4 linked regions of the Schizosaccharomyces pombe genome follow. The gene in region 1 interacts genetically with each later gene. Each region holds a gene or a part of one and is shown in the gene's direction. Other genes may lie near its edges. The genes, in order: rik1, clr3, lsk1 and ase1.

What was found.
Region 2: mutations in rik1 (region 1) and clr3 together harm fitness more than expected from each alone (negative genetic interaction), as found in Schizosaccharomyces pombe (3 studies listed by BioGRID, with this or other methods).
Region 3: mutations in rik1 (region 1) and lsk1 together harm fitness more than expected from each alone (negative genetic interaction), as found in Schizosaccharomyces pombe (3 studies listed by BioGRID, with this or other methods).
Region 4: mutations in rik1 (region 1) and ase1 together harm fitness more than expected from each alone (negative genetic interaction), as found in Schizosaccharomyces pombe (3 studies listed by BioGRID, with this or other methods).

Annotation. Positions count from the first base shown.
Region 1 is NC_003421.2:1,465,919-1,472,625, forward strand, and holds rik1 (CLRC ubiquitin ligase complex WD repeat protein Rik1), read left to right. Parts: upstream 1-1,963; 5' UTR 1,964-2,255; coding exon 2,256-5,378; 3' UTR 5,379-5,862; coding exon of another isoform or gene 5,863-5,895; 3' UTR 5,896-5,938; downstream 5,939-6,707. Other genes in the region: translation initiation factor eIF2B alpha subunit Gcn3, read right to left, coding at 1-88; SPOM_SPCC11E10.09C (alpha-amylase-like protein), read right to left, coding at 5,863-5,895, 5,939-6,382, 6,449-6,707. UniProt on the Schizosaccharomyces pombe protein: Component of the Clr4 methyltransferase complex (ClrC) which contributes to the establishment of heterochromatin by specifically methylating histone H3 to form H3K9me.
Region 2 is NC_003423.3:252,534-257,703, forward strand, and holds clr3 (class 2 histone deacetylase Clr3), read left to right. Parts: upstream 1-2,152; 5' UTR 2,153-2,288; coding exon 2,289-4,352; 3' UTR 4,353-4,605; downstream 4,606-5,170. Other genes in the region: cell cycle transcriptional repressor Whi5, read left to right, coding at 615-698, 777-1,451. UniProt on the Schizosaccharomyces pombe protein: Responsible for the deacetylation of lysine residues on the N-terminal part of the core histones (H2A, H2B, H3 and H4).
Region 3 is NC_003424.3:3,951,608-3,957,371, forward strand, and holds lsk1 (P-TEFb-associated cyclin-dependent protein kinase Lsk1), read left to right. Parts: upstream 1-2,188; 5' UTR 2,189-2,863; coding exon 2,864-3,811; intron 3,812-3,857; coding exon 3,858-3,948; intron 3,949-3,963; exon of another isoform or gene 3,964-4,014; coding exon 4,015-4,693; exon of another isoform or gene 4,694-4,744; coding exon 4,745-4,808; 3' UTR 4,809-5,262; downstream 5,263-5,764. Other genes in the region: SPOM_SPAC2F3.16 (ubiquitin-protein ligase E3), read left to right, coding at 5,536-5,764. UniProt on the Schizosaccharomyces pombe protein: Catalytic subunit of the CTDK-I complex, which hyperphosphorylates the C-terminal heptapeptide repeat domain (CTD) of the largest RNA polymerase II subunit. Involved in RNA polymerase II transcriptional elongation and pre-mRNA 3'-end processing.
Region 4 is NC_003424.3:1,876,153-1,881,465, forward strand, and holds ase1 (antiparallel microtubule cross-linking factor Ase1), read left to right. Parts: upstream 1-2,036; 5' UTR 2,037-2,209; coding exon 2,210-2,633; exon of another isoform or gene 2,634-2,680; coding exon 2,681-4,452; 3' UTR 4,453-4,574; downstream 4,575-5,313. Other genes in the region: SPOM_SPAPB1A10.08 (uncharacterized protein), read left to right, coding at 107-734, 807-1,429; GTPase Ypt71, read right to left, coding at 4,727-5,173, 5,228-5,313. UniProt on the Schizosaccharomyces pombe protein: Required for anaphase spindle elongation and microtubule bundling in both interphase and mitosis. Has a role in spatial and temporal regulation of septation and cytokinesis and ensures equal partition of segregating sister chromatids.

The DNA of each region.
Region 1 (6,707 bases):
CATCTTGCAAAAATTTTTTGTAAACCTGGACGATGTCAAATTCTCCTTGAGAATGTCGAACGATTCCCGAAGAATCCGATTCCACCATATTCGCAGATGCTAGACGCTCTTGCTTAGTAGCAACATCTTTTCCATACTTTAAGGATATCCAACAAAATCAAATAACGGGCAATGCCTTTTTGTATTAAATTGTAAGCTACGCAATTTGGTATCTGATTTAAGGATACGTAGAACTGCGGTGAGTTTTCCTTGTGATCTATTATATTACAATACACAGGTTGTATAAGTAGCAACTGAGTATAGGTATTGTATTAACTGAGTTATAATGTTACCTATCACTAATATAGCTCATAACTGAACTGAGGAACGAGGTTCAGCAGTAGCTCTATTTATATTATTCAGATAATATAGATCTTAATAGATTATCATTAAGATCAATCTCAATATCGTATCATACATGGTACGATATATAATTAGAACATGTGACATATAGTGATACGCAACGTAGATGATGCGATGTCGAGATTGATATTGATAATACTATATTAACAGATAGATTATTTGGATAGAATCGATAGAGATACAACTAAACCTCATTTCGCAGTTCAGTTATAAGTGATAGGTGACATTATAACCTAAATAGTACAATACCAGTACTTAGTCATTACTTATATAACCCGGCTATTATAATATAATGGATCATATGCAAAATTCACCAGTTTTTCGTATCGTTAAAGCAGATACCAAACTGCGTAGCTGACATTATACGGCGTTTTGGATACTGATCTACAGATATGTTCCTATAGATATTTATGTAGGTGATTTGAATGGTATTTACATATAAATTGGTTTATTAAATAGCTTATATTTAATTAAAGCTAAATATTGAGAATAATTTTAATATCATATTCTTGACTGAGTACATCTGAGGATAATCATGAAATTCTTCCTCGGTGATCAGTAAACAATGCTTGACTGTTGATTTCCAATATGTAACGTTCAACGATACTTATCATTGTATAGATAGTGAATTTGTAGTATAATTTACTATGTTCCTAATAGTTGAGCGTATCATGAACGAAATATGTCAAAACGCTTCCATTTTAAAAAAAAAGGAGTACTGATGAAAGCAGTAATTGGATTTGGTAAAAAGTAATATAGAAAGTTTTTTAAAAAACTATTTTATGTTTAAGAGACCTTTCAAAAGTTCATGACCATTTCTACGAGAAACTAATCTTTAGTCCAACCTTCGTAAATCTCGCTTATATTAAGCTTGATTTTACTTCGGTATTTATGGATGACGCGAACACTAAACTGGTATAGAAAAAACGCTATTACTTTCAGCATCTAAAGAAAATCATTTATGATAATTTCTATGCTTTCAATTATATCTAAATATTTACATGCTCAATCATTCAAAGCGATGCTACAAAAATATTATGTTTTAGTTGTCGACTCGAATTTCAGTAAAATCCTAACTTTATTGCTAGACATCCGTAGGTTTTCATTTATGCTATAAATCTGTGAATCACCTCGTGATCGGCAAGTTGTTAAAATAATCTTTTAAGTAACTCTAATACCATGCACTATAGTAAAGAAGGTATATATTTCTTTGCGTGCCTAGTTCTTGTTTTCAATAGCAATAGTCGTTATCTCCCATAGCTTTTAATTCTGCTCATCGATGAGAGTAACATATTCCAATATCTTCTCTACATTATCAAATCGTTTTGCAATTATAAAAATATCAATAGCTTTCGATTTCCCCCAATATGGCTAATGCTAAAATTTATAACATTGATGTAGAATTTGGCTTAGTTAAGATGCAAGTTGAAAATGTCTTATGTTTTATGATTATCAGAAAATGTTTTGTGTAGTATCTGATATTAAAAAATGCATATCAACTTTTACAATAAATTCGCTTGCGCAAAATGTATAGAGACTGCATATCTCGTTTCTTCTCCCTGCGGAGTGCCTGTAACTGGCGTCTTGCACTTTCATTCAAAATCGAAATTTTTTGGTAAGGATTTGATAGAGATTGTCACTTGGTAGCATATTTTTTCTATCTTGAATTCCTTTTTCTAGGCTTTTGTGGCTCTTGGCCGTCCACTCTTTATTTTTGTATTCAACTGTTTTTTAATCACATAAGTCTAGTCATAATCTTTTGAACCAACTCAAAGCTTCTTTTTTTTATTTTTTTCTTTGTTAAAAAAAGTCTTTATTCCTTTTATTATATCAGTTTATGGATTTCATCGTGTATGGCTTTATGTGTTCATTCCTTCTGGGCAACGGCGGTAGACACAGCGACTTCATGTCATTTTATATCATCTGAAAACTGCTTAGTTTTATTACAAGCCTTAAAAATTAATATTTATCTCTGTAGTGAGGTTCATGGCTTACAATTCTTTACCTCTATCCCTTTATTTTCTACGGTGAAACATATACGCCCATATCGCCCTCCAGGATTAGATAGAGACTATTTATTTGTAGTTCTCAATGATGATACTTATTTTTCGATTTATTGGGACGAGGATTATCAAAAAGTGATCGTCGACCATCCTCCAGTTCGCTATCGAGTTACATTTCCTTGGAATCGCAACGCGAAAAGCTACTGCCTTGTCGACTTAAGGATGCGTGCTATTTTTTTAAGCATTGACGAAATTTCCATGATATGTATTAGAATCCTTTCTGCCGAAGAACGGTTGAAAACTGGCCGTTCTATAGATAGCGGATTTCCTTTTTCTTTTCCAGTGCATCTCATATATGATATGTGCATTCTCAATGATTCCAGTACCCCAACTCTTGTGGTCCTTCACAGCGATGGCTTAGATTGTTATGTAACAGCTTTTCTTTTAGATTTAAGCTCAAAAAGTTTGGGAAAGGGGATTAGACTATTTGAGCGGGTTAAACCGTCAATGATCATGCCCTTTGGAAAAAGAGGTTTGCTGGTTTTTGAGAGTTTGTTTATTCATTGCATGTATCGCGGTAATTTTGTTACAATCAATGGTCCTTGTACTACTTATATGCATTGGACTCCTTTGAAAGGGCAAAAGATGCATTATATTGTTTGTGATACTAATGGATATCTTTTCGGAGTATATTCGAGTATCTTGGGAAAAAACAAATGGAGCTTGGTTATGGAAAGACTACCAATCCCACCTTTCGACTTTATTACTTCTCTAAATTCCATCCATGAGGGACTCTTGTTTATCGGAAGCAAAAATTCGGAATCTAAACTTATTAACCTGTCTACTTTGAAGGATGTTGACTCAATACCCAACTTAGGACCCATTCATGATTTACTAGTACTCAAAAACGACATTGAAAAAAGTTTCCTTGTATGCGCAGGAACACCAAGAAACGCTTCTTTAATTTATTTTCAACATGCTCTGAAATTAGATATTTTAGGGCAGACGAAAATCTCGGGCATCCTTCGAGCTATGGTCCTACCATCATATCCAGAGCATAAGCTCTTCCTCGGGTTTCCTAGTGAAACTGTTGCTTTTAATATCAAAGAAGATTTCCAGTTAGAGCTAGACCCATCTCTATCAACCAAAGAAAGGACGATTGCGCTTTCAGGGACGAATGGTGAGTTTGTACAAGTCACATCTACTTTTCTTTGTATCTACGATTCTGCAAAGCGCTCTCGTTTAGTTTATATTGAAAAAATCACGAACGCTGCTTGCTATCAAGAATACTCCGCAATCGTTATCAATGGAACAGCATTGGCAATATTTAAAAAAGATACAGAAGTTGCACGAAAAGTTTTTGAAAGTGAAATTTCTTGCCTTGATTTTTCAGCGCAATTTCAAATAGGAGTTGGATTTTGGTCTAAGCAGGTGATGATACTTACATTCTCAGATAATTCGTCAATTAGCTGCGCCTTTCAAACCAACGTTCCATCATTGCCCAGAAATATTATTTTAGAAGGAGTTGGTGTTGACAGAAATCTTCTTTTAGTTTCTAGCGGAAGTGGTGAATTTAAATCTTATGTACTTTTCAAAAATAATCTGGTATTCTCTGAAACAAAACATTTCGGTACAACCCCTGTATCGTTTAGGAGATTTACGATGAATATTGGTACCTATATCATATGCAACAATGACTGTCCACACATGGTATATGGGTTTAATGGAGCACTATGTTATATGCCGCTTAGTATGCCTCAAAGTTATGATGTGTGTCAGTTTCGTGATAACTCAGGGAAGGATTTTCTCATTTCTGTATCATTAGGGGGCTTGAAATTCCTTCAACTTAATCCATTGCCAGAATTGACCCCAAGAAAAGTACTTTTGGAGCATGTTCCGTTACAAGCCATTATTTTTCAAAATAAACTGTTGCTTAGAACACTCGAGAATAGATATGAAGATTACGAAAGTTACAAGGAAAATTATCACTTGGAGTTGGTCGATAGTTATGATGATAATTCGTTCAGGGTTTTTTCTTTTACCGAAAATGAACGTTGTGAGAAAGTTTTGAAGATTAATGAGAGTTCTTTACTTGTAGGAACAAGCATTATAGAACAAGATAAGTTGGTGCCGGTAAATGGAAGATTAATTTTGTTAGAGTTTGAAAAGGAGCTTCAGTCTTTGAAGGTAGTTTCGTCTATGGTACTATCTGCGGCCGTGATAGATCTGGGGGTATATAATGATCGATACATCGTTGCATTTGGGCAACAAGTTGCAATCGTTAAACTTACCGAGGAAAGGCTTATGATAGATTCTAGGATATCACTAGGTTCTATAGTTTTACAACTCATCGTAGAGGGTAACGAGATTGCTATAGCGGACAGTATTGGACGTTTTACGATTATGTACTTCGATGGCCAAAAGTTTATTGTCGTTGCCAGATACCTTTTTGGAGAAAACATTGTGAAAGCAGCATTATATGAAGGAACAGTTTATATAATAGCAACTAATAGTGGCTTGCTAAAACTTCTTCGTTATAACAAAGATGCAAAAAACTTTAATGACAGATTCATTTGTGAAAGTGTGTACCATCTGCATGATAAAGTTAGCAAATTTCAAAATTTCCCAATAACAAATACCAATTCGTTTTTAGAGCCAAAAATGCTTTTTGCAACGGAAATTGGTGCTATTGGGAGTATAGTATCATTAAAAGATAAGGAGCTAGAACTGGAGGAACTTACAAGAAAAATTCGAAAATTAAAATTTTCATACTTGTCATCTATGGACTACGAAAGTATAGAAGCAGACCTCATTTCTCCAGTCCCGTTTATTGATGGAGACTTGGTTATCGATGTCAAAAGATGGGCATCTTCAGAACTTTTCCGATTATGCAGAAGTGTAGAACATAGGGAATCACTCAATTCTTACCAAAAAGTTCAAGCCCTCCTTGAGGAAATACAAAGTTTATGTTAAACGTATTATTGCCTTTTTGCTCTGAGTTATTATCTTACACTTTATGGATCATTGCAAATTTGGAAGTTTGGTTCTAGGACTGTATTATGCATTTGTGAGTAATACAAAAAAAATCTTTTGATTTATAATTATAAGTCACAAGCTGTCGCAACATGGCACTGATAAATACAAGTACATAAAGCTTGGTTAAAAAGTTATCAGTCTCAATTTCTTTCGTAAAATCTTCTTCGAAATTCAAGATATTTGTCATAATTGTTGCATCGCTCATCTATCTAAGACGAGATGACATATATTCTGGATTTCAATAATTAAAATGAAACTATTAAATTTCATATGACAGAAACTGAGCACTTCAACTGGCATAAAAGCTCAAAGGAATTTTTTAAGCTAAAAAATTAAAAAAAAACTTTCTCCATTTGGCGATCACGTGTTGCCAAGTATTTTTGGAGTGTAATTAAACTGGAGAAACTCTAGTGTAATTTCTCTATAGGAAGCTAGGGTCAGAGGAAATTAGGATCTTAAAAATTGTTAGTAGAATAAAACATGAACTAAATGCTTACCTTTGGCAAGCCACTTTTTGATTTGATCTTCAGTTTATGGTCTTTACAGGGGATGGTTTTCTGAGTAAGAATATCTGTAAAACTTGAAGGCACTTCTTTCCAGTGTTCTTTCAAATCTATTTCAACTTTAAACGACGAGGTAGAGCCTTCATTGCTTATGGCTATAATGACTCCTGGACGAGTAAATACATAAACTGAATCGTCAATGTATAGTTGAAAAGATAGCACGTATGTAAACTCTGGGTAGGTCTCAACCAAATTTTGACGCGTGCGTATCATTGAAGAAAGATGTCTAAACATTGGATTGGAAGTATTGTATTTACTTTTCCAAAGACCTTCTCTGTTGTCAGGATCGCTACCACCGTCAAACATCTGTTCTTGTCCATAATAGATAATTGGAATACCGTCCATGAAAATAAGTGCAGTTAATGCGTTAAGAGCCAGCTAAATAAATGTTAAAATATATAAAAAATGCAGGTACTAAATTGAAATATTGTTCAATAGACTTACGGCGATGTCTTTGGTTTCATGAAAAAAGCGAGGAAAATCATGATTTTCCAAAAAGTTACACAAGACGGTAACATCTTTGAAGTAATGTCGAACATCAAGTACGGCCTTATCATAAAATGAAAACATAGAATGTTTGGGGTCAAGAAAGGTTTCCCGCAATTGAAAAAATAAAGGGAAATTTAAAGTCGAAGGGAGATATTTTTGATAATCCCCGACGACTTTAGGATCTCCATGAAAAACTTCTCCTGTAGTAAATACA
Region 2 (5,170 bases), on another chromosome or scaffold:
AGTTTGTACTGGTGCGTCATAGACGAACTTTTACAACTACATATACATTTTGGGAATTTAATGGGTTTAATATTTTATAAATAAAATGTGTTTATTATTTTCTGTGTACAGTTTGCATTTGAGCTTTGTCTCTCTTGTGAATGATTTGTATCAACTATAAGGTCATGTAACCAAATAATTGGGAGAATATATCTATGTTTCTGAATGCAATTTTTTTGGTCTATTTGCAACTTCTCATCGACGAAAACGGTGTTTACAAAAAGACAAAGGTACCAAGTAAATTGCATATAACCGACATCAGTATATTCATGTAACTTTGGCTGATAATCTTATGTTTTTATTGTTTGTATGGTAGAGTGTTTTGTTACTTGATAATTCTGGTGTTCTGCCTGTTGCTTTTTTCAATCGTTTGTACGGGCAGGCGCGACTTTCGACTTACCAACACATCGTTCAACGCGTCTTGTTTCAATTGAAACAATTATATGCTATACGGAGGATTATTTGATTGCAATTGGATATTATAAAAGGAATTTATCGAAAGGAGAATTCGAATAGGCTAATAACTCGTCATTTTTATATACCTGCATACAGACGAACTCAACAAATATTAATTCATGGCAGGCGGCCACAAGAAAAATGAAGCTACAAGGCAGACTGATGAAGTTATTCAACAAAAATACGATGAATCATTAAGCAAGGTATGTCAATTACGCAAACACAATTAGGTAACATCTCGACGATACAAATAGAATCGTCGATGAATAATTTTGGTTTAGCATAAAAATCGTTGCGAATTGTCATTAACTTTTGAATACAAGTTATCAAACAAACTTAGGGCTCGTTTGAAGGCAGCGTTTTTTAAGGTCGATCATGGATGGGAAGATCAGACATTAGATCAAGTGGAAACGCTTGTTCGTAAGGAAAATCACGTTCATCGTAGATCACGCTCGATCAATGACTTGGACTCTTCTAAGCTAAGAAGGCCGCATCACCCCAACTCAATTATGGGATCGAATACAGGCAAGCTGCGTGCAAGTTCATTTACGCGATTGGTGAGCCCAAGAGAGGGCTTCGCTCAGCTTCCTTATAAGAAGCCTGTATCTCCTTACTCATCTTCTAGTGCTGTTTCTTCTACGTCCTCGTCTTTTGATAGAACTAGTCCTCCTTGGTTGAACTACGTTGAGCCTCATACTGAGCTACCCAGACTGCCATTTGAACTTAGCCATGCCTCCACTGCTTCAGCTAAATCTCCACTGTTCGGAATGAATTACCATATTTCACGCCCTGAAGAAACCGATGAGTCTCTTCGCCTTGGCACTGCAAACCTCAGTAGAATTCGCAAGTCCACGAGTCTTCCTTTTCCAACGGCTTATCCCCTATCGGCAGATGATTGCAAGGCAGCTGAAGTTATGCTTACGTTGGTGAATTCTATGCCTTCGAAAAAACCATAACATCCTTCATTTTAGATGGTATACGAGCATTAAGATATAAAATTACATAATTATTTCATGAGAGTTAATCTATAATTTGGATGAATAGATTGATTGTTCACATCCTGCTGAAGAATTTTTGGAAAAATCTCGTTTGAGAAGTTTTGTTATTTCTTGCTATCCGTCTCCAGTCCTATGGTTGATGAGCTATTAACCCTCTATATGTTTAAATGCTTGATATGTACAAGCCAAATTGTGATAATGCTTAATGATGTTTATGACAAAGGGTGAATGTTTCCGGGCGTACAACAGTCTTAAAGATCATAGAAACATTATTTACCATGTATTTATTAACGTTCTTCCTACATCTTGATCCTTATGATTTGAAATGATTATTATATAAGATAATGGAAATTCGCGAACTCGCAAAATTATGCATTCATTTCGAAGTATGGCTCGAGACAAAGCTATTTTTAAGTTTCTAAGAAAATAAAATAAATAAATAAATAAAAATAAGACCCTCCCATGAGCCTCATTACAAACTCTATTTTTTCTCAATCTCCATACGTTCAGGATCAATCTTCTATTTAAAGCCTTACTAAACGTCTTAATTACTTACATTTTTATTCTTTACCAAACAAACTCCTTTGTTAGCATGGTTGAGATTATATTCTCTCATTGCTCCTCTATACTTATGTCTTAGAAGTACCAGCAACAGTTTTGACGACCAAAACTACCTATATCGAGTGAGCCGCGCTTCAAAAAGTGTTTCGACAGTTTTATGAGGGAGTTGTTTAATAGGAGATTTTTTTATTAATTTATTAATTGATTGACCTTTTTAAGGGCGATAGAAAACGAATGCTGGCCTCTAATTCTGATGGTGCATCTACTTCTGTAAAACCATCCGATGATGCTGTAAACACGGTAACTCCATGGTCTATTCTTTTGACAAACAATAAACCAATGTCTGGAAGTGAAAATACATTAAATAACGAATCCCATGAAATGTCGCAAATCTTGAAAAAATCTGGATTATGCTATGATCCTCGAATGAGATTCCATGCCACTCTAAGTGAAGTGGATGACCATCCTGAAGATCCAAGACGCGTCCTTCGTGTTTTTGAAGCTATAAAGAAGGCCGGTTATGTATCTAATGTGCCGAGTCCGTCAGATGTATTTTTACGGATTCCGGCTAGAGAAGCTACTTTAGAAGAGTTATTACAAGTTCATTCACAGGAAATGTATGATAGGGTTACTAATACCGAAAAAATGTCTCATGAGGATTTGGCCAATCTCGAAAAAATCAGTGATTCTCTATACTATAATAACGAAAGTGCGTTTTGTGCTCGATTGGCTTGTGGTAGCGCAATTGAAACATGTACGGCTGTCGTAACTGGTCAAGTAAAAAATGCCTTCGCAGTTGTTCGCCCTCCTGGCCATCATGCAGAACCCCATAAACCTGGTGGCTTTTGTTTATTCAACAATGTTTCTGTAACCGCAAGGAGTATGCTACAACGCTTTCCGGATAAAATAAAAAGAGTATTGATTGTCGACTGGGATATACACCATGGAAATGGTACGCAAATGGCTTTTTATGACGATCCAAATGTTCTATACGTTTCTTTGCATCGATATGAAAATGGTCGTTTCTATCCTGGCACCAATTATGGGTGTGCAGAAAATTGTGGAGAGGGCCCGGGATTGGGTAGAACTGTAAATATTCCTTGGAGTTGTGCTGGCATGGGAGATGGTGATTATATATACGCTTTTCAGCGCGTCGTAATGCCTGTTGCTTATGAATTTGATCCAGATTTAGTTATTGTAAGTTGCGGCTTTGATGCTGCTGCAGGAGATCACATTGGTCAATTCTTGTTAACTCCAGCTGCCTATGCTCATATGACACAAATGTTAATGGGATTAGCAGATGGGAAAGTTTTTATCTCCCTTGAGGGAGGTTATAATTTGGATTCTATAAGCACATCAGCCTTAGCTGTAGCCCAAAGTTTGTTGGGAATTCCTCCTGGACGATTGCATACAACATATGCATGTCCACAGGCCGTTGCTACCATCAACCATGTAACCAAAATACAATCCCAATACTGGAGATGTATGAGGCCGAAACACTTCGACGCAAATCCTAAGGATGCCCATGTAGATCGATTACATGATGTTATTCGAACTTATCAAGCTAAAAAACTTTTCGAAGACTGGAAAATTACCAATATGCCAATACTAAGGGATTCCGTTTCCAATGTATTCAACAATCAAGTACTGTGCTCTAGCAATTTCTTTCAAAAAGATAACCTTCTCGTTATTGTCCATGAATCTCCTAGAGTCCTGGGTAATGGAACTAGTGAAACGAACGTTTTGAATTTAAATGATTCGCTTTTAGTAGATCCCGTGAGCCTTTATGTTGAATGGGCTATGCAACAGGACTGGGGGCTTATCGACATAAATATACCTGAAGTGGTTACGGACGGTGAAAATGCACCGGTTGACATTCTTTCTGAAGTGAAAGAACTTTGTCTTTATGTATGGGATAATTATGTTGAGTTGTCGATTTCAAAAAATATTTTTTTCATCGGTGGAGGCAAAGCGGTACATGGATTGGTTAATTTGGCATCTTCCAGGAATGTGTCAGACAGAGTTAAGTGTATGGTGAATTTCCTTGGCACTGAACCTTTGGTGGGTCTTAAAACGGCATCAGAGGAAGATCTTCCAACGTGGTATTATCGTCATTCACTCGTGTTTGTGAGTTCTAGTAATGAGTGCTGGAAAAAGGCAAAGCGTGCTAAAAGAAGATATGGACGACTTATGCAAAGTGAACATACTGAAACTTCGGACATGATGGAGCAACACTATCGAGCGGTTACTCAATACTTGCTGCATTTGCTTCAAAAGGCCCGACCAACTTCTCAGTAACATTCGTTATTGACTTATGATTTTTTCATGGTTTTCTATTCTTTTAATTGTCACACATTTAACCTCCTTAAGTTATCTACGTTAAAATTTATAACGGACATTCATGATTTGCCAAACCCGCTGAATGATTCGTACTCAATCTGCTAAGCTGCTTTGTCTCTTTTACTTATACTTTAATTCGAGCTCATTATTCTCAAGGTTGGTGGATTTTGACTTTATTTTCCAGTAGAATGTATACACAAATGGTTTATTGTTATTGCTGGCTTCATTTTATTCATGTTCAATATAATTAAATAAATAAGGTTATAATATTGTTTTATAAAATAAAGCTCCTCAAATCCGTGATATTATTTTAGTTCAAACAACTATTGTTGATTTTTGTCGTAATTTTGCTTAAAAGCATTTCTCTAAAGCTGAGGGAAATCCCTCATCCATTTTTTGTACCGCAAAAGGATAATATTATAGTATGTTGTTTAAATTGTAAAATTAGATTCATAGTACAAACAGCATTTAAATTGTTTTCTTATTCTCCAATATTAATAACTATATCACACAAAAAAATTGATTTGGTTGTATGGTGTAATGGTTAGCACGTGAGATTCTGATTCTCGAGACCTGGGTTCGATTCCCAGTACGACCTTCATGAATGATGGATGATTCTGTGATGTTCAACTTTTTTAACTAATCCAAATTGCATGAATGATAACCGGTCAACAGTAATTGTAAATGTAGCAACTTTACTATTAAGGAAGGCTGGCTTTTTTTTTTTTTAATAAAACGACTTGATCCTATATTATATATAGCACTAAACATTTGCG
Region 3 (5,764 bases), on another chromosome or scaffold:
TAAGTACTGGAATGTAATCTAAATGGCTGAATTAAAGTAATTACAAGCAACACTATATGTTGCTGCTCTGGCGCAAGTTAACAACAAAAATTAATATTTCTGAATAACGTATCTTTGCGAAATACCACGAGTTCTAACTATATCTACTTTAAATGGATTAAGGCTCCACAGTGCGATTCAATATAACATTAATTAAAATGCACTTGGCCTGTTCATTGATGGCCAAAAAATTAAATATAATTTGGTGAATTTAACTCCTATATAAAAGTTTTGTTTTTTCAAGCCTAAGGATATCGTTGAAGCTATTGCTGTGGATTACCGATGTTAGACTAAATAATAGTTGACACCAATTCGATTTATTAACAGTTTATAAACTTTCTCCCTACATAGTCTTCTTTCTTCGATAATTACTTTAACACATATAAAATGGAATTGTAAATATACTAAACGAAACGATAAGACATAGCCAAACTATGAAGGAATTATGCATATAGCATTTGAATAAATTAAATACTGAAAGCTAAAAGAGCTGCTATAGAGTACAAACTCAGATTCTTATATCGCACCTGTGATGAATAAATGTTTGAAGAAGCGATTTTTATTAACGAAAATATAACATAATAAAAGAGCTTATTTTTTTTGCTTTGCTTTAAGATATTAGAAGTACTCTACTTTTACCCCATATTAAATGTTGAATAAGAAGATATGGTTTTCGCATTTGAAAGCACAACGTCCATGTCTTTTCGATTAAGATTCATTAAGTATTATTGGTGAATATAATTGAGTGCAAGGGACTCTCTCGCTGAATTTACCATATGCAAATATATCATAAATCCACAGAAACCAGTATAGGATGTCCGTTGAATAAGGAAAATTTTATTTAAGTCTAACTCTGATAATACGTTTTGTATGTCAGTCAATTGAATATAAGTGCAAATTTTTATTTTTTTAATGACCTATTTATTGTAATAAAATCACGTTTCTTTGTTAAAATTGCACAAATTGAGTAAGCTATATAAATATTTAGAATTGAATATATACATATGAAAGCAAACATTTGGTCGTAGGATCCTTGTACACTTGAATTTCTATGATATTTTATTATTTCATATTAATTATGCTTACGTTTTGGAATTTTTATAAAAAATTATATCGTACTGGTAGTAGCCGTTTGTACGATCATCTACCTTTTTATTTTTTAATTTCATTAAACAAATTTAATTTATTTGTTTGCATTTTTGAAAAAAAAAACTTATAAAAAATCAATTATGCTCATTTAGCTTTTTGCAATGATTTTTTTTTTTTTTAAACATTTAGTTTAACTAATGAGACTATTATTTAAACAATATTGCACCAAATTTATGTCAAAATCATCACTCTTAAAATTGAATAAACAACAGGAACAGAATTCCATGAGTTATTCATCTTGAAGCTCTTGACCTAACCTTGTTCTTTCTAAAACCAAGCATTTTTGTTTAATTTTTAAAAAAATATTATTGATTAATTTAGCTTTGCAAACAATTTGCACACAATAGATTTTGAGAGGCTGAATATGAATTTTTAATGTTTTGAAGACTGGCGTTCTACTAGAACGTCCAATGTGATAACGTTATACTTATGAAAGGATGTAAAACTTCTATATACAGTAAAATAATATATTCCCTCCTACCTTACATGTAAGGGTTGCATATTATTGATTATTTTACTTTGTATTCTTTAGACTCACGGAAAACACTAATTTATGGTAGAATATTAATTTCTCATAAATAATATTATTTTAAACGATTCAAAACTAATAGAAAAGCTCAGACTTGCCTTTATCTAGTCGACATTTGATTCCTTTGGTTTACTATCGCCAATGGCAATTTCCAAGGATCCATGCGGATTACCAGATTTATCTTCATCGCTTTTTAAAATGTTAAATATGAACTTAATATAATTCAGATGAAAAGGTTTAATCCAATAATATTATATGAATTGAGAATAACTGGTTGGACTTAGTTAATAGTTAAAAGACCATCTTAGCAAATGGGGAAGAGAAAATGGCTAAGAGTTAAGCATTGAATAAATACATTATTTACTTTGATTTCTATAAAACAAGCTGATATTCATCATAGCCTCAAATTACTTATTATTTTAAGTATGGTGTGGTAAAGGAATTGAGTCGCGCGCGTTTATTTCTATTTCTACTACACACCAACAACGAAGTTTACCTATCGCCCCTTGATTAAACTAGTGGACTTGCAAACTACTTCATTCATTGTCATAGAAGAGGAAGAACTAATTTATTTCTGTCTTTATTAAATTTCGAGATAATTGGTGTTTTTAACAATGTACATTTTGAATTGATAGATCAAAGAAATCAGGAGTGCAACTAAAAGAAAATTACGGTATATTTTTTTAAGCTGCAAGAGTTGATACTTAAAAGTATTTCCTAATTTTGTGGATACTCATATTTTGTACATTTACGTTTCAATAACATTTCTGCAACCGACTTATTCACAAATCTCTGGTTAGATTTCTCTATTGATTGAAAAGGTTTGTCTCACGTTCACCCTTCATAGTTTAGCGGTGAAAAAAATCTCCACTCTGAAAATTGTCCTTTCTTCATTTATTAGATTGCATGATTTATTTCACTGGATTTAACTAGCTTGTCTTGGCAGCTTACCTTTTATTTCCCTTGTACGATTTTTTTCCGGTGAAGTTGTATTTATTGTTACATAAAAACACATTTGGCCGTACTTTAACGATTAATTTCTTTTCTTTTATTCCCATCGAATTTTCGCTCACAGATTGCGTGTAATTCTCTTCATTGTTTAGGAATATTCCTTTTTTTATTTTTTATTTTTTTTAACCCTGTTAAATGTCATACTCGAAGAGTACAATTTATCGCCGACAAGGCACAGAACCAAATAGCCACTTTCGGCGTACCGTCGAAGAAAAGTCTCAGCTTTCTGGTACAAATGAGGAGTCTTTAGGAGGCCACACCCTGTCCTCTAATGCTTTCAAAAATAATTCATCTAGTATATCGCCATCCTCATCTGCGAAGGATCCTCGAGAACAGCGGAAAAGAACATTTCCTCTCAACGATACACATTCTTCCCGAGCAAGACAGCATGAAAGACCTTTTCGTTCTCGAAAATCTAGAAGGAGAAAGGGTAAAAAGGCATTCAGTCCTAGACCTGGCTCACCTCCATCACCTTCCTTTTACCGCTCAGGTAGTCAAAAACGAGCACGTAATTTAACTACCAAGGATTACTTTGCCAAACGCTCTGAAAGCTCTTCTAGCGCCTCCGTCTCACCTATATCACCGTCCGCAAACAGAAATGATTCAAAAAGGCAAGCTTCTTCTTTTCGAAGGTCTCCGCCTAGTTCTGTACATATGAAGCCTTCAGCTTTTAACGGTCGAAAGGTATCGCGGAGACCTTCATCTTCTCCTCCCCCTATTCCTTCTATCCCTCATGAAACTACTTCCTCCGATACACAAAAAAAATCTAGCGTGTCTTCTGGCTTTCCAGAGAACAAACATGGAAAATTTCACTTTCATATACCTAATGAACGCCGATCTCGATTCGATCAACCTCCTTCGAAACGTATGGCACTCACGTCCACGGCCCGTGAGTCTGTTCCAGCTCCTCTTCCTTCTCCTCCTTCCGGCCCAATTTATACATATACATATCCAAAGCCTGCCTATGAGAAAATCGACCAAATTGGAGAAGGAACTTATGGTAAAGTATACAAAGCCATTAACACAGTCACAGGAGATTTGGTAGCTTTAAAACGGATAAGGCTGGAGCAGGAAAAGGATGGTGTAAGTATAAAAATCAAGCTCGTAACTAAATTGACTAACTTTCTAGTTCCCTATAACTACTGTCCGTGAAGTCAAAATCTTGCAGCGTTTGCGTCACAAAAATATTGTTCGGCTATTAGAAATTATGGTGGAAAAAAGTACGATTAAATACTGTCCTCATTCACCGTTTAATTATAACTAGTTCTAACATTTTAAAATTCTAGGTTCTGTATATATGGTATTTGAGTACATGGATCACGATTTAACTGGAGTCTTACTAAATTCACAATTACATTTTACTCCCGGTAACATAAAACACCTTTCGAAGCAAATTTTTGAAGCATTAGCTTATCTTCATCATCGTGGGGTGCTTCATCGTGACATTAAAGGTTCTAATATATTACTGAATAACAATGGTGATCTAAAATTCGCAGATTTTGGTCTGGCGAGATTTAATACATCTTCGAAGTCGGCTAACTACACTAATCGCGTTATTACCCTTTGGTTTCGACCTCCAGAGCTATTACTTGGAGAAACTGCATATGACACAGCCGTGGACATATGGAGTGCTGGCTGTATTGTTATGGAGTTGTTTACAGGAAAACCTTTTTTTCAAGGGCGAGACGAAATCAGTCAGTTAGAGGTTATCTATGATATGATGGGTACCCCTGATGTTCATTCTTGGCCTGAGGTGAAAAATCTTCCTTGGTATGAGCTTCTGAAGCCAGTAGAGGAAAAGAAGTCGCGTTTTGTTGAAACTTTTAAGGAGATTTTAAGTCCTGCCGCCATTGACCTATGCCAAAAACTCCTTGCCCTAAATCCCTTTTGTAGACCGTCAGCTCATGAGACCTTGATGCATGAGTATTTCACTTCTGAGAGCCCACCTCCAGAGCCAGCAGTCATGTAAGTATAAAATTTATCGTTGAATGATATTTATCTAACTTATGTGTTTAGTTTGAAAAACATGCAAGGAAGTTGGCATGAATGGGAAAGTAAAAAACGAAAATCTAAAAGATAAATGAGCCAGAAAATTTTGTCAAGGCGAAGCTATGCAAGCTGGACAAATGTTTAAAAAAAATAATCTTTATATTTCATTTAATTTCTTTGTCTCGCTTTACTGCGGTCTATCTTCTATATATTTTGTTAACACTAGGCAGAGTAACAAATTTGTCTGATGCTGGACAACTTTTTTTCATTTTTTGCTCTCTTTTTCTTCCGAAAAAGATGAAATAAGAACACTAATAGCTCATGATAATTAAATGTTCCACTGGTTTATTTGACTATTATAACTCTTTCACCTTTTAAGAACTTAGAAATCAAAGGCTTGAAGTCTTGAAATGAGCTTGGTACTGTGTACAAAAAAGATAAATTCAAAGGACTCGTATGAATTTATGATGTGGTTTTCTTTTAATCAGTCAACCGTAGTAATAATAATTTGTTTACATATACTTTTTAATAATGTTAAGGTGCAGATGTTCTCAAGAGCCTGCTCAAATATTTAGTAATGATGATTTAACAATTAAGAGAGCAAAAATTAAGTTACTATTTGAATGCGTAGCTTAAAATTGATCAAAGTATATCTACGGCTTTTACAATAGTGTGATGGCACGGATATCACATTCCGCATTGCACTGGACCACACTATAAGTCAACACTGAACTGATCGAGGAATAGGTAAGCATTCCCCTTCTCCTTTTGATCAAGAACCATCATTATAACAAAAAAAACAAACACAAAAAAAGTCGATGTCATTGTCGGAGTATCTTCGTGAATTCGCTGAGATTTTTGAGGAAGCTGCACAAGAATTAACCTCAATATTCGAACTACCTCCTGACCTGTTGAAAGATATTACTGAAGAGGATGTTGGGACTGATGACTCTTGTAATAAGAAATTCCTTGAAGTTCAAAAGCAAAAAGAAGATGAAGAAGATGAAGAAATATTGAAAGGAGTGGATTTAACGCAGCAAGATTCCG
Region 4 (5,313 bases), on another chromosome or scaffold:
CTTCTAATTCACTTTATGAACTGCTTTGCAATTAGAAACCGGTAGGATTTGATCAATTGGCTTTATATATAGGCGCTATATTTTCTTTCTTTTTACATTTCTTTCTATGATGACTCGGATGGAATTAAGACCATTGGAAATTGGCTTCTCTAAAGCACTCACAGAAGTAGCTCCGGTAACTTGTCAATGCGAATGTTGGGATCATAATCTTTGCAGCTCTCAAGCTAGTGAGATGGATTTAATTTATCAGTCTCAGGATACCCATTCTTGTGCATCAAAGCAAGACGCCGTTTTTCAGTTGCTGAGTGAAACCAAGATCCCTGTTCCCAATCGTTATAGAAAAATTTCACATCGCTTGAGTACTCTATCTAATAAAAAAACTCTTAAATCACAATTAGATCGTTTTTTGTCTTCGTCCAAAAAATTACACAATGATGATGTTAATAGAGGTGATTACTGCTTTCTTCTTTCTACACCTGTCGAGTGTTCTGCTTCTACCAACTCTCATTCTTACGACTGTTTGTGGAATTTTTCGTGTAATTCATTCCCTGAATACTCCTCCTACTCTGCTTCGGAAACGTCTTCAGTCGCTTCTTACTCTTACTATTCGGGGCCAAATCCTGCAACTCCCAGCTCTTCCTCTTGTAACCTCGTAAACGCAAATAGCCTTGATATTTACTTGAATATTAACAACTTAAAAAAATCCAAATCTGTTCCTCGTTTAAGAGGTCAATGTATGTTCTTTTAAGATTTTTCAACCTTTTCTCTTATCTTTTATTTATTCATCGTTGCTAACAATATCATAGTTATGGAGCCCGTAGAGCATAACCATCCACTTTCTAAAAGTCTTGAGGAGCAATCCTCTTTTTTGGAACAATCAAAGGATGCTTCCTCTAACTTGACCGCCTGCAATAGGAGTGGCTCTAGTTTATCATCTAATTTCTACTCATCTAGGTTGTCCAAAAAAACATCTTTAGCATCTTTAAATAAGTCTCGAGCTTCTTTACAGCATAAAATAATGTCGCTATCTCGTAATATCATCAGACGTGTATTTCACAAGCCAGAAGTGCATTTGGATCCAAGTGCCTCCATTTTAAATCTCTCATCTTCGCATGGCGAAAGCAACCTGACAAATGGTTTGCTTTGTCAAAATTTCAAGCTTTTTCAGGATGATTGGTTGATGGAGGATTGTGCGCCAGATGCCAATTTCACTTTGTACACCCCGCTTCAACCCTGGGAAAAGCGAAGTGTGAAACCTGAAATCAGACGTCCTCGATTAAATCCTAATTTTTTCCGAGTATTTGTTTTAGAAGCTCAAATGCGACGAGCTGGAAAGCTATCAGCAAACACTGCTGGCCGAGCCCAGTTAATTTACCTCCCAAAGCCTGCCGTTACCTTCTCCACTAGCCCTTTGCATGTTGAATTGTAAAAATTTAACGCATGACTTATATACATTTGCATTCTTCCAAGCTGGTTATATTTATTTTCATTTTTTTCTCACCCAATACTTTTTTATCCCTACTGTCTTTATGGACAATCGACTCACAATTGTTTCTTTTTGTTGTATATGATTTTTTTTTTAAAGGAAATGGGTTTCGCGATACTGGGTTGAATCCCAATTGCGGTTAATATTACATAAAATAATTCTCCCATAGTCCTAGATCCTGTCTTTGAATATGAGCAAATAAAAGAATTGAACAAATCATGAATGCTTTTCTCTCTTAGATGATATTTTGTATGCATAAGTCTAATTATATTGATTACGATAAGACTTAAAAAGTAAGCCTTTGTATCCTTTTAAGCAGTATTTGAATTTTCTTGTATCATATTTTAGGTAGAGCAAAAGATACCAGTTTGTAGAACTTTATGTGCTTCCTTACATTGGTATATTTCAGGCACATAAATATTCTTCAACTTACAATTCTAAGTATTTTGTTTATACTAAAAGGAGCTGAATAACGTTTATACAGTGCTGACATTGAAATCTATTTGCTTTCTTTGGAATATAAGCGCATGCTGAGTTACTTTCGCAGGCCAAGCCATATCCAACCACCATTTTTGTGCCAAGCTTTTATGCAAGGTTAATTCCTTGTACTGCTTGTTATGTTATAATATATCAACATCTTAACAGTTTTCATATCTTCCTTTATATTCTATTAATTGAATTTCAAACATCGTTTTATTGAGCTCATTTACATCAACCGGTTCAATGCAAACAGTAATGATGGATGACATTCAAAGCACTGATTCTATTGCTGAAAAAGATAATCACTCTAATAATGAATCTAACTTTACTTGGAAAGCGTTTCGTGAACAAGTGGAAAAGCATTTTTCTAAAATTGAAAGGCTTCACCAAGTCCTTGGAACAGATGGAGACAATTCATCATTATTTGAGTTGTTTACAACGGCAATGAATGCCCAGCTTCATGAAATGGAACAGTGCCAGAAAAAACTTGAAGATGACTGTCAGCAAAGAATTGATTCAATCAGATTTTTGGTTTCCTCATTAAAGTTAACGGATGATACTTCTAGTCTCAAAATTGAGTCTCCTTTAATTCAGTGTTTGAATCGTTTGTCAATGGTAGAAGGACAATATATGGCACAGTATGATCAAAAGTTAAGTACGATTAAAGGTATGTAATCGTCTTTAATTTAGACTTGTGTTTTAACTGATGTATAGAAATGTATCACAAATTGGAGTCATATTGTAACCGCTTAGGAAGTCCGTTCGTTTTACCTGATTTTGAGAATTCATTTTTATCTGATGTATCCGATGCTTTTACTGAATCTTTGAGAGGACGCATCAACGAAGCCGAAAAGGAGATTGATGCGAGATTAGAGGTTATTAATTCCTTTGAAGAAGAAATTTTGGGTTTGTGGTCTGAACTCGGTGTTGAGCCCGCTGATGTTCCACAATACGAACAATTGCTTGAATCCCATACTAATCGACCAAATGATGTTTATGTTACTCAAGAACTTATCGACCAACTTTGCAAGCAAAAAGAAGTTTTTTCCGCTGAAAAAGAAAAGAGAAGTGATCATTTAAAAAGTATACAATCAGAAGTTAGCAACTTGTGGAATAAGCTTCAAGTTTCTCCCAATGAACAAAGTCAATTTGGCGATTCATCAAACATTAATCAAGAAAATATTTCATTATGGGAAACTGAACTTGAAAAACTTCATCAGTTAAAAAAGGAGCATTTACCCATTTTTTTAGAAGACTGTCGTCAACAAATTCTTCAGCTTTGGGATTCTCTGTTTTATTCAGAAGAACAAAGAAAGTCCTTTACACCTATGTATGAAGACATTATTACAGAGCAGGTTCTTACGGCCCATGAAAACTATATAAAGCAACTAGAGGCCGAAGTTTCTGCTAATAAGTCCTTTTTAAGCTTAATTAATCGCTATGCCTCTTTAATAGAAGGAAAGAAAGAGCTTGAAGCTAGTTCTAATGATGCCTCTCGTCTAACACAACGGGGACGCCGGGACCCAGGTTTACTTCTACGTGAAGAGAAAATCCGTAAGCGACTTTCTAGAGAACTTCCTAAGGTTCAGTCGCTGCTTATACCAGAGATTACAGCATGGGAAGAAAGAAATGGAAGGACGTTCCTTTTTTATGATGAACCACTTCTCAAGATTTGCCAAGAGGCCACTCAACCAAAATCATTATATAGAAGTGCAAGTGCTGCCGCAAACCGCCCGAAAACAGCAACTACAACGGACTCTGTTAATAGAACACCTTCTCAACGAGGGCGTGTAGCTGTACCTTCAACACCAAGTGTTAGGTCCGCTTCTCGAGCTATGACGAGTCCAAGGACACCGCTTCCTAGAGTAAAAAACACTCAAAATCCAAGTCGTTCCATTAGTGCAGAACCGCCATCAGCAACCAGTACCGCCAATAGAAGACACCCCACTGCTAATCGAATTGATATAAACGCTAGATTAAACAGTGCTAGTCGGTCTCGAAGCGCGAACATGATAAGACAAGGGGCAAATGGTAGTGACAGCAATATGTCTTCTTCACCCGTTTCTGGAAATTCCAATACCCCTTTTAACAAGTTTCCAAATTCTGTATCTCGCAATACACATTTTGAATCCAAGTCACCGCACCCAAATTACTCTCGAACTCCTCATGAAACGTATTCAAAGGCTTCATCTAAGAACGTCCCATTAAGTCCTCCAAAGCAGCGTGTAGTTAATGAACACGCTTTAAATATTATGTCGGAAAAATTGCAAAGAACTAATCTGAAAGAACAAACACCCGAGATGGACATTGAAAACAGCTCGCAGAACCTTCCTTTTTCTCCTATGAAGATATCCCCCATAAGAGCATCACCCGTAAAGACAATTCCATCATCACCGTCCCCCACTACCAACATTTTTTCTGCTCCACTCAACAATATTACAAATTGTACACCGATGGAGGATGAATGGGGAGAAGAAGGCTTTTAAGCTTCTTATTTACCTAATCGATCAAATTTAAATATACATATTTTTGCATATGAATACAGCATATAGATAATTCATAAAAGTTTATTAACTGAGGTCATAATTAAAAGACTATTTACACCTAAAAAAAAACGTGTATCAATAGAGGGAAAAGAGAAGAATTAAGAACAGAAAGTAACCATAGTTTTGTTAAAATAGCAATGTAAAAAAATATTATGAAAAGAAAACGTATAGCACATTTTGAAATGTAAAAGAATCTGAGAGAGCGTGTGAATATCTAGCAATTACAAGAAGATGTATTATTCAAAGGCTTTGAAAGAAGCAAAGGTTCAGAGAAGTCATTAACAAAGTCATCTCTCGAGCTTTCATTTTCTAAAGCTAAACGACTGACTGTTTCGAAAAGGTCAGTAACGTTTGTATTTTCTTTTGCACTAGCTTCAAAATGAATCATATTTGATCCATGTTTGGATTTGCAATAGTCAAGAGCTCGATGAAGAGATACGGCTCGTTTAGACGCGTCTTTGTCGATTTGATTTCCAACGATAATGAAAGGGAATGCACATTCATCTTGTGAAGTTTGATATAAAAATTCTTGCCTCCAGTTTTCTACTGAGTCAAAAGACTTCGAGTTATTCACATTATAAACAATTACACAACAATCGGCCCCTCTGTAAAAAGCCATTCCCAGGCTTTGAAATCGTTCTTGACCAGCAGTATCCCAAAGCTGTTTATAATTAGCAAACGAATTTAGATGGGCGGAACTTATATTGGAACTTACCTGTAATGTGACCAATTTGTCGTCAACCACAACGTCCTTGGTTAAAAAATCAGCACCGATGGTAGCTTTATATTCGCGACTAAACT